Linked DNA regions of Pelodiscus sinensis. The protein of the gene in region 2 interacts with the protein of the main gene of each other region in a biochemical or structural test. Links are inferred from orthologs where the notes say so. Each region holds a gene or a part of one and is shown on either strand. Other genes may lie near its edges.

Region 1 (3,745 bases), on a different chromosome or scaffold from region 2:
AGCTGTGGGCACTCTGCTAATCAGCTGGGCGGCGTTTGACTTTCTCGTGAGTGGCTACACAAACGCCCGGCTTACAGGGAACACAGACCTGGTTTGTGTTGGCAAGAAGCAACACAGCTGGGAGAGACGATGGATCTGTGGACTCTCCCTTGTGTGGAAGGTGGCTTTGCTGGAGTACTTCCTTCTCCCCCACACCGCTGCCACAGCTGTGCAGAGGGCCCCCCCACACCTTCCCTGAGCACAGTCCAGGGATCATCAGACAGGGAGACCTGGAGGGAAGACAGTACCTGGGCACCTCATGCCTGTCTGTACAGGGAGGGGCTGGTACACTGGTTGTAAGTTTACTTAGCATCTTGCACCACCAAGACACTCCAAGACTGCAGCCGGACAGACTCTTCCCTGGAATTTGCCGTCAGCTCCACTGATCTCACAGCAGGGACAAGGTTGCTCCGATGAGCCAGGCAGAAAGTGGGCAGCACCAGGAGCTCAGCTACAGCCCAAAGGCAGCCAGGGCTGTGAGCTCAACGGGCTCTACGAATCCCACCCAGAGGCCCAGCAGAGATGGGCAGGGTACACGGTGAGGGGCGAGCTTGCCACAGGGGACAACCGTACAGCAAAGGGCACATTTGCACGCACCCACTTCCCATGCCAAACAGGGTGTGGCAGAGGGTACTTGTGGAACTCCCCTGTGCAGGAGGCTGGTCACAGCCGCTCCTCCCCAGTAGGAAGCCTAGTCCGAACTACCTAGTCCGTGTCGCGTGTAGCTGCGCGGCACAGAGTCCGCACTAGCGGTCATTTAAAAATGGCGGCACCCGGCGAGATGCAAATGAAGCCCGGGAAATTCAAATCCTGGGCTTCATTTGCAACTCCGGTTGCCTACATTACCCCGCTAGTTCGAACTAGGGTGGTAGTGTAGACATACCCATAGAGAGTGATGGGTCCTAACCAGCAAGGGTCATTTTTTCCCCCTTGACCATGCTAAACAACTTCCGTTGGGCATCCTAATGCTGAGCGGGTTGGGTACAGACACAGGAGTAACCAGACAAGCAGCCCCCGCACCTGCTGGACACAGAACTTCAGATCTGGGGATTTAGTGACCAGCACGAGAGAAGCACACACACCAGCTCACAAATCTGTTCTGACAGTAGACAGGCAGGGGCTCCCCCTCCCCTCTGGATCAGGAGGCGATTGTGGCTATTTTGGAGCCATTTGATTACGGGCATCAGAGCTAGGGGACCGAGACGCTTCGGACTTGCATGGGATTTCTGCGTCCCCCTGAACTGGCCACTAGATTTTTCCCCAGAAGCATCACTCATTGTGTGTCCATGCTGTGCAGTCCAGGAGCAGAGCCCAGTGGATTGCGGACAGAACGCGTTTCTAAAGAGGCAATTGAACAGGCCCTGCCTCAAGGATCGGCCCGTCGACAAGTGGCTTCACACACCGTCCGTTTCAGAAAACTCGGCCCATTTGCCAAGTTTCAAATCTCCAAACTCCTTGGGTGGAGGAGAGTGAAAACGCGCACGCACAGTGCACTCCACGAGGCTCTGAACAACCCGCAGCACAAACACTGGGCCATCTGCTCAAAATGGTGTTTACAGTCAGTTTTTAAACACTGCGCCAATTAGCCGTCGACTGTAAACCAAGCACACAGGCGGCCTGGACGCTCCAAACCTGGCGGGCGGGGGAGGTCCTTCCCACACACGCTCAACAAGCTCCGACTGGCGTTTTCGGCAGCCTAGATAAATGTAACATGCCGGCGGACGAGCCTGCAGGCATCTCCTCAGGAGGGTGAGCACGCCCAGCGCCGGAGCTTTCCAGAAACGGGCACGGCTCCGGGATGGCATGGGCCCGGGCCGCCCGGCACAGACACAGGCCACAAGGTGGGCCCTGCCCCCAAGATCTTTCAATCTCAGCAAAGGACAAAGGAGCTTGACCCAGGCTAGAGCCTTACGCTCCTCTGTTGCCGCTAAACTCCCTCCCCGTCCCAGCCCACGAGTGATGCACCAGGCTTCTGAGCACCAGGGAGCTGAGGGGGGAAGACTTTGGAGCACAACGCACCCGGGGATTCAACGGCAGCAGGGCGGCCCCTCTCCCCAACCCGGAGACACGGGAGGGAGGAGAGAGAGGGGCAGGGGTCTCTTTACGCGCCGGACGTACCACGAGCAGCTGCAGCAGCAGCACCAGCAAAAGCAGCAGGCATTGGGGCGGTGGTTGCCAGCGGGTTGCACCGTCGCCGGAGAGGTCTCATGCTGGGACATCGAAAGGGGTCTCTCCGTGGACTCAGGTCCCGTGTACTGGAAGGGAAGAGCATGGAGAGGGTAAAGGAGCCAGCAGGGCTGTGTGCTGCCCCTCCCCCCCAGCTCAATTCCCTCCCACATTCCCTTGAACCCAGATCCCCCCACGCACTGTGCACTGGTGGCCAGCCCCACGCGTGGCGGTTAGAGACACTACCAGGCAACAGCCTGGGCAGGAGGGGAACCATCTCGCCCTCTGCCTCCAAAGGGGTGGGGAGAGGCCATGGGCTGCTTCTGGCCCCAGAATTGCAGAGCACAGACAGGGGTCTGGCTGCGCAGAATACTGAGCTTCGGGCGGTTGCAGGGGCTTGGTGGCTCACTGGAATTTCTTTAAGGCTCTCCCCCGGCCGGCCAGCCTAGGGGTTGTCCTTTACCGCAGTCAGTTCATCTCCTGTCCCGCAAGGGGCCAGATCTCCAGCTCACCTGCTTCCCAGCTTCATACACAGTCGGCATGGGCAGCTTGTACGTTTCCGGCTGGCCCACCTCTGCTCGCCTGTCCTGCTTGGGGCCAGGGACCTGTTCTGTCGACACGCCCGCCTAGGGCCTTGGCAGCCTACTAGACGGAGCCTATGAGAACAGAGAAGCATTTCTTAAGTTAAGCCCGCCTGCCGGGCAAATCCGTCCTCCAAGGGGACACCCCAATGCTGCAGGCCGGGCCGGGAGGCCGGAATTCCTCCGGGCTAGAATGAGCTGCTGAGGTCGGTGCTCAAAAGGCAGCAGGGCCGTTCTCCAAGGGGACACCCCAATGCTGCAGGCTGGGCCGGGAGGCCGGAATTCCTCCGGGCTGGAACGAGCCCCTGAGGTCGGTGCTCAAAGGCAGCAGGGCCGTTCTCCAGCCAGGTGCCCCAGAGGGAGTGAACAAAACAGGCAATCATCAAGTGATCCCCCTCCTGTCAGCCATTTCCAGCCTCTGACAAACAGAGGTCAGGGACACCGTTCCTACCCCTCCTGGCTAATACCCATTGATGCACCTAACCTCCGTGAATCTATCTAGCTCTTTTTTGAACCCTGTTAAAGTCCAGGTCTTCACAACATCCTCTGGCAAGGAGTTCCACAGGTTGACTGTGCACTGCGTGAAGAAAGACTTCCTTTTCTTTGCTGTAAACTTGCGACCTATTCATTTCATTGTGTGACCCCTAGTTCTTACGTTAATGGGAACAAGTAAATAACTTTTCCTTAGTCACTTTCTCGACACCAATTATGATTTTATAGACCTCTAGCACATCCCCCCCCCTTAGTCTACTCTTTTCTAAGGTGAAAAAGCCCAGTGTTTTTAAACTCTCTTCATATGGCACCCGTTCCAACCCCCTAATCAGTTTTATTGCCTTTTACTGAACCTTTTCCAATGCCAAGATATCTCTTTTGAGATGAGGCAACCACATCTGTGCACTTCTGCCTGTATAAACTACCGTGGCTCTGCCAAATAAACTGCTAAGGCCCATGGGTAAAAA
Region 2 (3,745 bases):
CACTGAAAGCGGGGACAGGCAGAAGCTGGTGCTCACAGGGAGTCAGCTTTTAAGCTGGCTCCCCATGAACACCAACTCCCACAGAGCTGCCTGTCCCTTCCTGAGCCCTGCTGGCTCCTCGCAAGCACTGACTCCTAGCTGTTCCCCATGCCCCACACTGCTGCCTCTGAGGGGGGCAGCTCTGAGGGAGCCACCTCCCCCCTCATATGTAAACATGAAAAATTCAGTGGTAACAAATGTTTACAAAGATAAATGCATTTTAACATCCCTATTAGCCAGTTGGTCCCCAGCCTGTAACAGTGCTTGGGATTCTTCCTTCCGAAGTACAGAACTCTGCACTTGTCCTTGATGAACCTCATTAGATTTTTTGGCCCAATCCTCCAATTTGTCTAGATCACTCTGGACCCCATTCCTACCCTCCAATGTATCTACCTCTCCCCCTAGCTTACGGCAATCCATCCCCTTATCCAGGTCATTAATAAAAAAGTTGAACAAAATCAACCCAAGGACTTTGGGCACTTTGCTTCATACCAACCACCAAACAGATATTGGGCTCAACGGGTAGTAATCAACAGCTCGACAATCTAGCCAGCTTTCTATCCACCTTACAGTCCATTTATCCAAGCCATACTTCTTTAACTTGCGGGCAAGAATACCGTGGAAGACTGGATCAAAAGTTTTGCTAAAGTTAAGGCATATCACGTCCACCACCTTCTCCATACCTACAGAGCCAGTTACTTGGACACAGAAGGCAGTCAAGTTTGTCAAGTATGACTTGCCCTTGGTGAATTCATGTTAAACTTAAGTTAAAACCTTTTTGATCTTTCATATAGGCAGAAAAACCCCAAACCAAACCCAAGCCAACTTACAGGATGCTGCCCCTTCTTCTGCATATGCATTTGGAGATTCCATGCTGCCCATTTCTATTTTAGGACTTTTGAGTGGCAAAACTTAAAGTGCTTCCAATATACATCAACTAATCTTTGTTTACCCCCATGAGGCAGGTGGGTCTTACTTTCCAGATAGCTAAGTGGAGTACAAAGTAGGGATGCTAATTTTGATTAATCAGCTAATCAAGTAGCTGATAAGGGGAGAGTGTAGTGCTTGCTATCCCCGTTGCACCTCTGCCTTTTAATGGTAGACAGAGCTGCTCCAAGGCTCTTACTACATTTAAAAGGCAGAGGCACAGCAGTCGGGACCTGGTGCGAGTGGAGACTGCTTCAGTACCCCACTCGTGCTGTTTGCCCTGCTGCACCTCTGCCTCCCCTGCCCCCTGCGGAGCTAGTGCTCGGGGGAGGGGGGAAAATCGGCTTTTAAACTAGCTCCCCCCAGCACTGTCTCATGCTCCCCCTCCCTTTGCTGCTTCTGATACAGAGGCAGCAAGAGGAGGGGGAAGTGACTAGTGAGTCAACTATCCAGTAAGCCTAGGCTAATTGGGTAGTCGACTAGTCGCTTATGTCCCTAGTATAAACAAGACTTCTTGGTCACAGAGGGAATTAATAATGGCACTGGGAATGTAACCTGCTTTAACTGTAAGGCGGTACTTGGACACAGGGGCAGCACCTCAATCATGCCGTTTATCCTACACAAGCTTGCAGATGCATTTGCATAAAGGAGGGAGCTTTCTAGGGTGATTACAGGAGGGACCTGAGATCCAGGATTTCGTGGGTACAATTCCCAGTTCCCCCACTTTATAGCCTTCAGTTAATCCCTCAGGTACCATGAGCCTCCACTCCTCAAGGCCCTCTGAGGCACAACCCGCACAGGCCATCCTTCTGTGCCAATGCACCATACACACCCCGTCAAGGGCACATCAATCACATCCTGCGCAGAGCCTGACCCCCCCTCCACACACTCCAGCTGGAATCCCATCCCTGCCACAGCATCCTCTTCTGGGGGGCTCCTGCCCAACTTAGGGGTGAACAACCCCTCCCCCCCAGCCAGCTGTCCCCCCCCGGAACTGATCCCCCCTTCTGACCCTCTGCTCCCCTCCCCGCAGCCGAGGGCACCTCCCCCCACGCCCATCCCCCCTCTGCTCCTATCCCCCCCCAGAACAGTCCCCCTCCCCCCCACTGCCAGGCTCCCACGAGCTGCTCCCACCCCCCCTCGGATCCGCCCTTGGGCACCTCCCGCCGACTCACCCCGTCCGCCTCCCCGCAGGGCTAGTTCCGCCAAACTCCGGCCGGGCACAGCTGGGGCCTGTCGCTCGGGGACGGGAGGGAGGGCTCCGGGCGGGAGAGGCTCCGCGCCCGCCATCCAATCACAGCACACCTCGCGCACCCTTTGGCCAATCCAAGCTGGGCAGGGCGGTGAACTGGGCGGTCACATTCTGGATCCATCCCCTCCATTTCCTCTCCCCCTTCGGGGCGCAATGGAAGCGTCCAATCTAAGAGAGTGTACGAATATGGGGGAGGAGCAGGCAGATACCATCCCAGGAGAGCGCGGAGCCCGAAAAGGAGCGAGAGTGGGAGCTACCATTCAGAGGTGGAGTTGCAAGATACTATTGAAGAAGGAGGGGGGACCCCCAGGAATTGTCATTGTTGACGTTGGCTACAGGAAACACCTACCAACCAATTCTGCCTCGGCAGCTTTTCCTGGCCAATCACAAGCAAGAACATAGAAAATAGCCAATCAGAAACTGGTAGGTGGAAGAGTTGGTAGAGTACCTAGACCAGGTGCATTACCCATCCTCCCCCTCCCCCTGCCTAAAACAGGGCTGTAGAGGAAAGGCTACAAATGATGCAGACCCAGCGGCCTGGTACGCGGATCAATACCTTCTCGTTGGTTCCTTATTGAGAGACGAGGTGAATGAACGAATATTGTTATTGGCTCAACTTCCGTTTTTAAAAGCAATGAAGGGAGGCATGCATTTGACATTCTCTCAAATCGGTATCCAGTACCAATTCCAGCTGACGTGAGAAACAGATGGGACAGTTATTCAAGGTTGAGACGTTTAGTATTGCATTTCTGAGCTTCCCGTGAGTACTTGTAACTAACAGGTGCTTTTTAAGGTGAACCTTTAATGATGTTTAGCTTTTAGCAGATTCTCTGCTTGAGTGGGTAATGGTTAATTGGTACCCGGGAGCAGCCTCCTCAAGCGGAGGGCTGCTTCAGACCTGCCGGCTCCGCCTACAGCCGCTGAAAGCTAGCAGCCCCATGCAGGACCAGGAGCTGTAGCTTTGCTTAGGCTGGGAGCCAGCAACTCCTGCCTGTGGCACTCCAGCCCAACCATGGTGGGGAGGGGCCCCCTTTAACTGATTAAACAGGATAATACATCCCTAGTTCCAACATTACTTTCCATCCCCGTTTCTTCATCTTAGCTTTACTTCACACCTACACCTCTTCTCTGCTGCCCCCACTCTTGCTTCCTTTCCCATTCAGCTGACCTGCTCCTGGCTAAACCCATCCAAAAGAAAAACTGTTAATGGAACTGGTATTTGCTGGTCTCACATAGTTCACTTTGCTTATTGTATTTCTTCCTCCATCCACTCTGATTTTGTTTTATTTAGAGCAGAAACTCTGCAGGATATCTACTGTTTGCACAGAGCCTAACCTAGTGGGACCCTATCTCAATTGGCCTTTATGCAGCAAGCAAATTGTATCATCCGCTGGCTGAGCTAGGAAGTTGCTGGGGGCCTGAAGACCACATCACAGCCACTAATTATAATACAGGTGCAATCCACTGCAATACCCTTTATGATACTGAGTGCATCGTGTGCTGGTTCAGGTAGTTTCATGGGTATGC
Region 3 (3,745 bases), on a different chromosome or scaffold from region 2:
TCCTATGTAACTTCGGATTGCGAAAATAGTCATTGTGACATGTTTAACAAACATTACGGAGTAAGATTTGTCGAGAGAGAAGGCACAACACAAGTTACAATAGGCATAGGTACTCAGATCATACTGAGTCTTCTTAGGCTTCTGAGACCATCCAGTTTCCATTCAGTACTCCCAAATTCAAATTGCCAGTATTCAAAAATCATGAGTCATGATTCAAATCTTGAAATACTTTTTAAACAATTAATAATGGAGGTGTTTGTTGAGTAGGAACTTCTGATTTTTGACCCAATAGTGTATGTTTGGGTCATATTTTCAAATTTCTCTCAGCATCCATAAGATCTACAATCAGGGCCAGATTAAGGGGCAGCTGTCCAGGGCGCCATCCTATGGGGGGCGGCTGATTGAAGTGGTAAGGGGCACCAAGTGCCCAGGGGTGAGGCCGCCCATGTGCTGTGCGCCCGAGGCTGGGCTGCACATGCGCCGCGCGCCTGCTGCCTGGGGTGCAACTATGGCTCAGTCTGGCACTGTCTACGATCACTTAATTTTTTTTTAAGTGACAGCGGAAATCCTCACATAATCACAGGATTCCAAGAACTAGAGTTTTAAGAAAAACACCAAATATCATGCGACTTGGGTTAAGAATCCCAAGAGTTCACAATGCTATTTTGTTCACAGGTTTAAACACAGGTATTAGTCCAAAGACTCCATGGCTAACATTAGATCATTTTATTAGCATAATTATGCTGATAATTCTTACATCCAGTACAGAAAAATTAATGCCTGCCCTGCTTTTGGGTGCCAATTCATAATTTCCCCCTAACTTTGCCAAATAACTGATGATTTCACAGTCACATCTATGGTACATGTGTCCTAAATTTTCTAGGTGCAACTGCAGAACAAGACAATAAGCATTTAAGTCATGACTGTATCTTCAGCTGTATGAGTGTAAATAAGAGTGCAAAGGAATTAGCTCTCTACCCAGTGTGACCTCTTTGGCTGGAGCTTTTGCAATGCTCCTGTTGTACATTAGCTATCTCCTAACTACTTCCCTGCTCAGCAAAGGGAGCTGTTAGCAGCAGTTGCTGTATAATTACTTACTTCATTCCTTCTAAGAAGCTTACCCTAAGAGTTGAGCAAAGAAAGCAGATTAACAATTTGAATACATCCATCTAAGGCACACACATAAAACAGTGGGGCCACCCGGCCAATAGACGTGGCCCAGGAAATTCACTCCATCTCCTCCCGCTGGAACAATAAGGGGTTTGGTTTTCATTGCGGGGCAATTACCGTGTGTGGGAGCGGGCAGGGGAGAGGCAGGAAGAGCCGGGCTGCAGTTGCGGGGGGGGGGGGGGGGGAGCCAGTGGAGATAGGACTCCTCCATCCCCAGCCGCCAGATTAGTACCAGAGTAGGCGGCGGCGCAGCCTATCGCGCGCTCTCAGCCTGCTCTGCCAGTCACATGCTCTCCACTGTAACCTAGCAACAGCAAAGCCCAGAGAAAAAGTTCTCTCTCTCTCTCTCTCCCAACTTCAATCTGTGCCCGAGACGGAGGGCGGCTCATTGTGCTCCACACTAAGCATCGGTTGCTTTAGCTCAGGTCCCGCATGTTGCACAGGCCCGGGACGCGGCCACGCTACACATGCCCGAGCCGTGCAAATCACACCAGCCGAGCCCGCGGCGAGCTCATGGAGCGCACCAAGGTGCAGCTTCACCCGGGGGCTGGCTGCAAACCCTGAGCTTGGAAACGGGGGTGGGGGTGGGGGTGGGGGCAGCTCAGCCTGCTCACGTTGGGCTGCAAAACCACGCGCGCTGGAGGGGCCCGGCTGCACCGCCAGACGCAGCTCTTGAGAGCGGCTCTCCGGGACCAAGGGGCAGGTTTCAGCAGCAAGCAAGCGCCAGGGCGCAGCGGTGTTCTTGCCCTCCTTGTGCCCGGCCCCATTGCATCTCCTCCATAAAATGAGAGCCCCCCCCCTTCCCGGGGCTTTGCACCCCTGAACGTCTCACAGCTCAGCGGCTGCTCCCCGCGGGACTCGCGGCCCTTCGGCGAGCGAAGAGCCACGGCGAGGGAAGCAAAGGCCGAAAGCAGCCCGCGGAGGAGCTGTCACAGAAACCGCTGGGCTCGCTTCTTGCAGCGCCCCGCTCTACTTGCCACTAGCGAGCTTCGGGGAAGGCGCCGCCTGCGGCTCTAGCCCCGGGGAAGCCAAGGCAGGCAGCTCCCTCGTGCCCCTTTCCAGAGCCCCGAGTGCCCCCCGGACCAGGCTGCAATAGGGGGCTTACCCTGGCCACTAGCCTGCATGATGCACGCAGTGAGTAAGATGAGCACTTTGCAAGAGGCCGCTGCTCCGTCCATCCCGCGACGAGAGCCCATCGGGGCGGGGATGCTGCAGCTCCCTCGGGAGCTGGCTGCTGGGCTCAGAAGTCTGCTCGGCCCCGCACCAGCCCAGCCGCCTGGTGTCTTTCTCTTATCCGGCTAGTTGCAGAGGAAAGGCGTGTTCGCCAGCTGAGACATCGCGTTTCCTATAAACTCCCACCCTCCAGACATTGCATAAAGCTCTTTATACCCAGCGGCCCCGGAACTAGCATGAGGGAATCAGGCACCGCTCCAGGCCCTACAGCCGGCTGCCTCTGCCCCTCCTTCCGCGCGCACTGTGCAGGGTAGGAGGGATGCTTTCACACCACTGCACTCCAATGACTTCTCACATCGCCCTGGCGCTGCCTTGTAACGCGCTTTGGCCAGATCCGGGGTGAGTTCGAATAGCAAACAGGACCCCGCGTTTGACGCCCGAGTCCCAACCGACAAACACTGTAGCCAAAGAAAAGGAGTTTGGCGAAGGAGCCCTGGAAAGGCTTGACACCAAGACGTGACATTCAGACATTGGGGTAAAGTTGAAAACGCTGATTTGTGCCTATCAGTCCCTAGGGAGACGCACTCACTCGCCTCTAAAACGGGGTTGAAGCCTTGACAAGCCCAGAATGAATCTTGTTTCTCCACCCGAGCCTGTCCTGGGTTTCCCGGGAGAGAAAAACCACTTGCAGAGAGCGTTGCGGCCGCGGGGGAAAGTATTGCTAAGGGCAGCCTGAATATCTGCTCATTTGTCAACAGTATTGTGACGGGCCTGGCTTTGCCAAGGGGGCCTTTGTGTCACAGATACACAATAAATCACCGGTGAAATACCCAGCCACGGTTCAGCTATTGCTGCCATTTCAGGAATTAGATATAAGACTATAGTAGAAAACTAGATTATTCGCGAGGGGGGAAACGGGGCGTGTTTGCATTTTTCAGAGATTACTCCCTATGGAATCGGCTTAAGTATTTCGGGGACTCATCAGAAGATGGTGGTGTGAAGGCAGTACGGGGAGTCTCTCACAGAATTGTTAAACTAACGGAATTTATAATTCTGTTAAACTGCTGAGAAAGTTAATCGTGTAACTGAACATGCCTTAGTGTAGTGAGGTCTTTAGTTAGACAGTTATTTTAAAGAAATTTATCACGATAAAACTTTGTTAGGTGATGAACTTCACTTAACTCCCCCTCTCAAGTTCTCCTCCTGTATGAAATACAACATACTCGAGCATTTCAGGAACAACTGATTGCTGTGTAAATCGTGGGATCAGAGGGGGGAGAGATTAGTTTATCTGACAACATGATTTGTCCTCTTCATTGCAATTGCCCCGCCTCTACACACTCCTTATATTAGTTGCATAAAGTTTACCATTTACTGTATAAAGTTTATATTAAACTGCAGG

Evidence for each region.
Region 1: the proteins of GIPC1 (region 2) and RGS19 form a complex in vitro, tested with the Homo sapiens proteins (2 studies listed by BioGRID). The link is inferred for Pelodiscus sinensis from reciprocal best matches to the Homo sapiens genes GIPC1 and RGS19.
Region 3: the proteins of GIPC1 (region 2) and LRP2 form a complex in vitro, tested with the Homo sapiens proteins (2 studies listed by BioGRID). The link is inferred for Pelodiscus sinensis from reciprocal best matches to the Homo sapiens genes GIPC1 and LRP2.

What each region holds. Positions count from the first base shown.
Region 1 is NC_134728.1:4,677,663-4,681,407, forward strand, and holds the start of RGS19 (regulator of G-protein signaling 19), read right to left. Parts: upstream 2,859-3,745; 5' UTR 2,748-2,858; coding exon 2,718-2,747; intron 2,295-2,717; coding exon 2,158-2,294; intron 1-2,157. UniProt on the Homo sapiens protein: Inhibits signal transduction by increasing the GTPase activity of G protein alpha subunits thereby driving them into their inactive GDP-bound form. Binds to G-alpha subfamily 1 members, with the order G(i)a3 > G(i)a1 > G(o)a >> G(z)a/G(i)a2.
Region 2 is NC_134729.1:10,604,629-10,608,373, forward strand, and holds the start of GIPC1 (PDZ domain-containing protein GIPC1), read right to left. Parts: upstream 2,293-3,745; 5' UTR 2,142-2,292; intron 1-2,141. UniProt on the Homo sapiens protein: May be involved in G protein-linked signaling.
Region 3 is NC_134717.1:39,567,852-39,571,596, forward strand, and holds the start of LRP2 (low-density lipoprotein receptor-related protein 2), read right to left. Parts: upstream 2,505-3,745; 5' UTR 2,367-2,504; coding exon 2,276-2,366; intron 1-2,275. UniProt on the Homo sapiens protein: Multiligand endocytic receptor. Acts together with CUBN to mediate endocytosis of high-density lipoproteins. Mediates receptor-mediated uptake of polybasic drugs such as aprotinin, aminoglycosides and polymyxin B.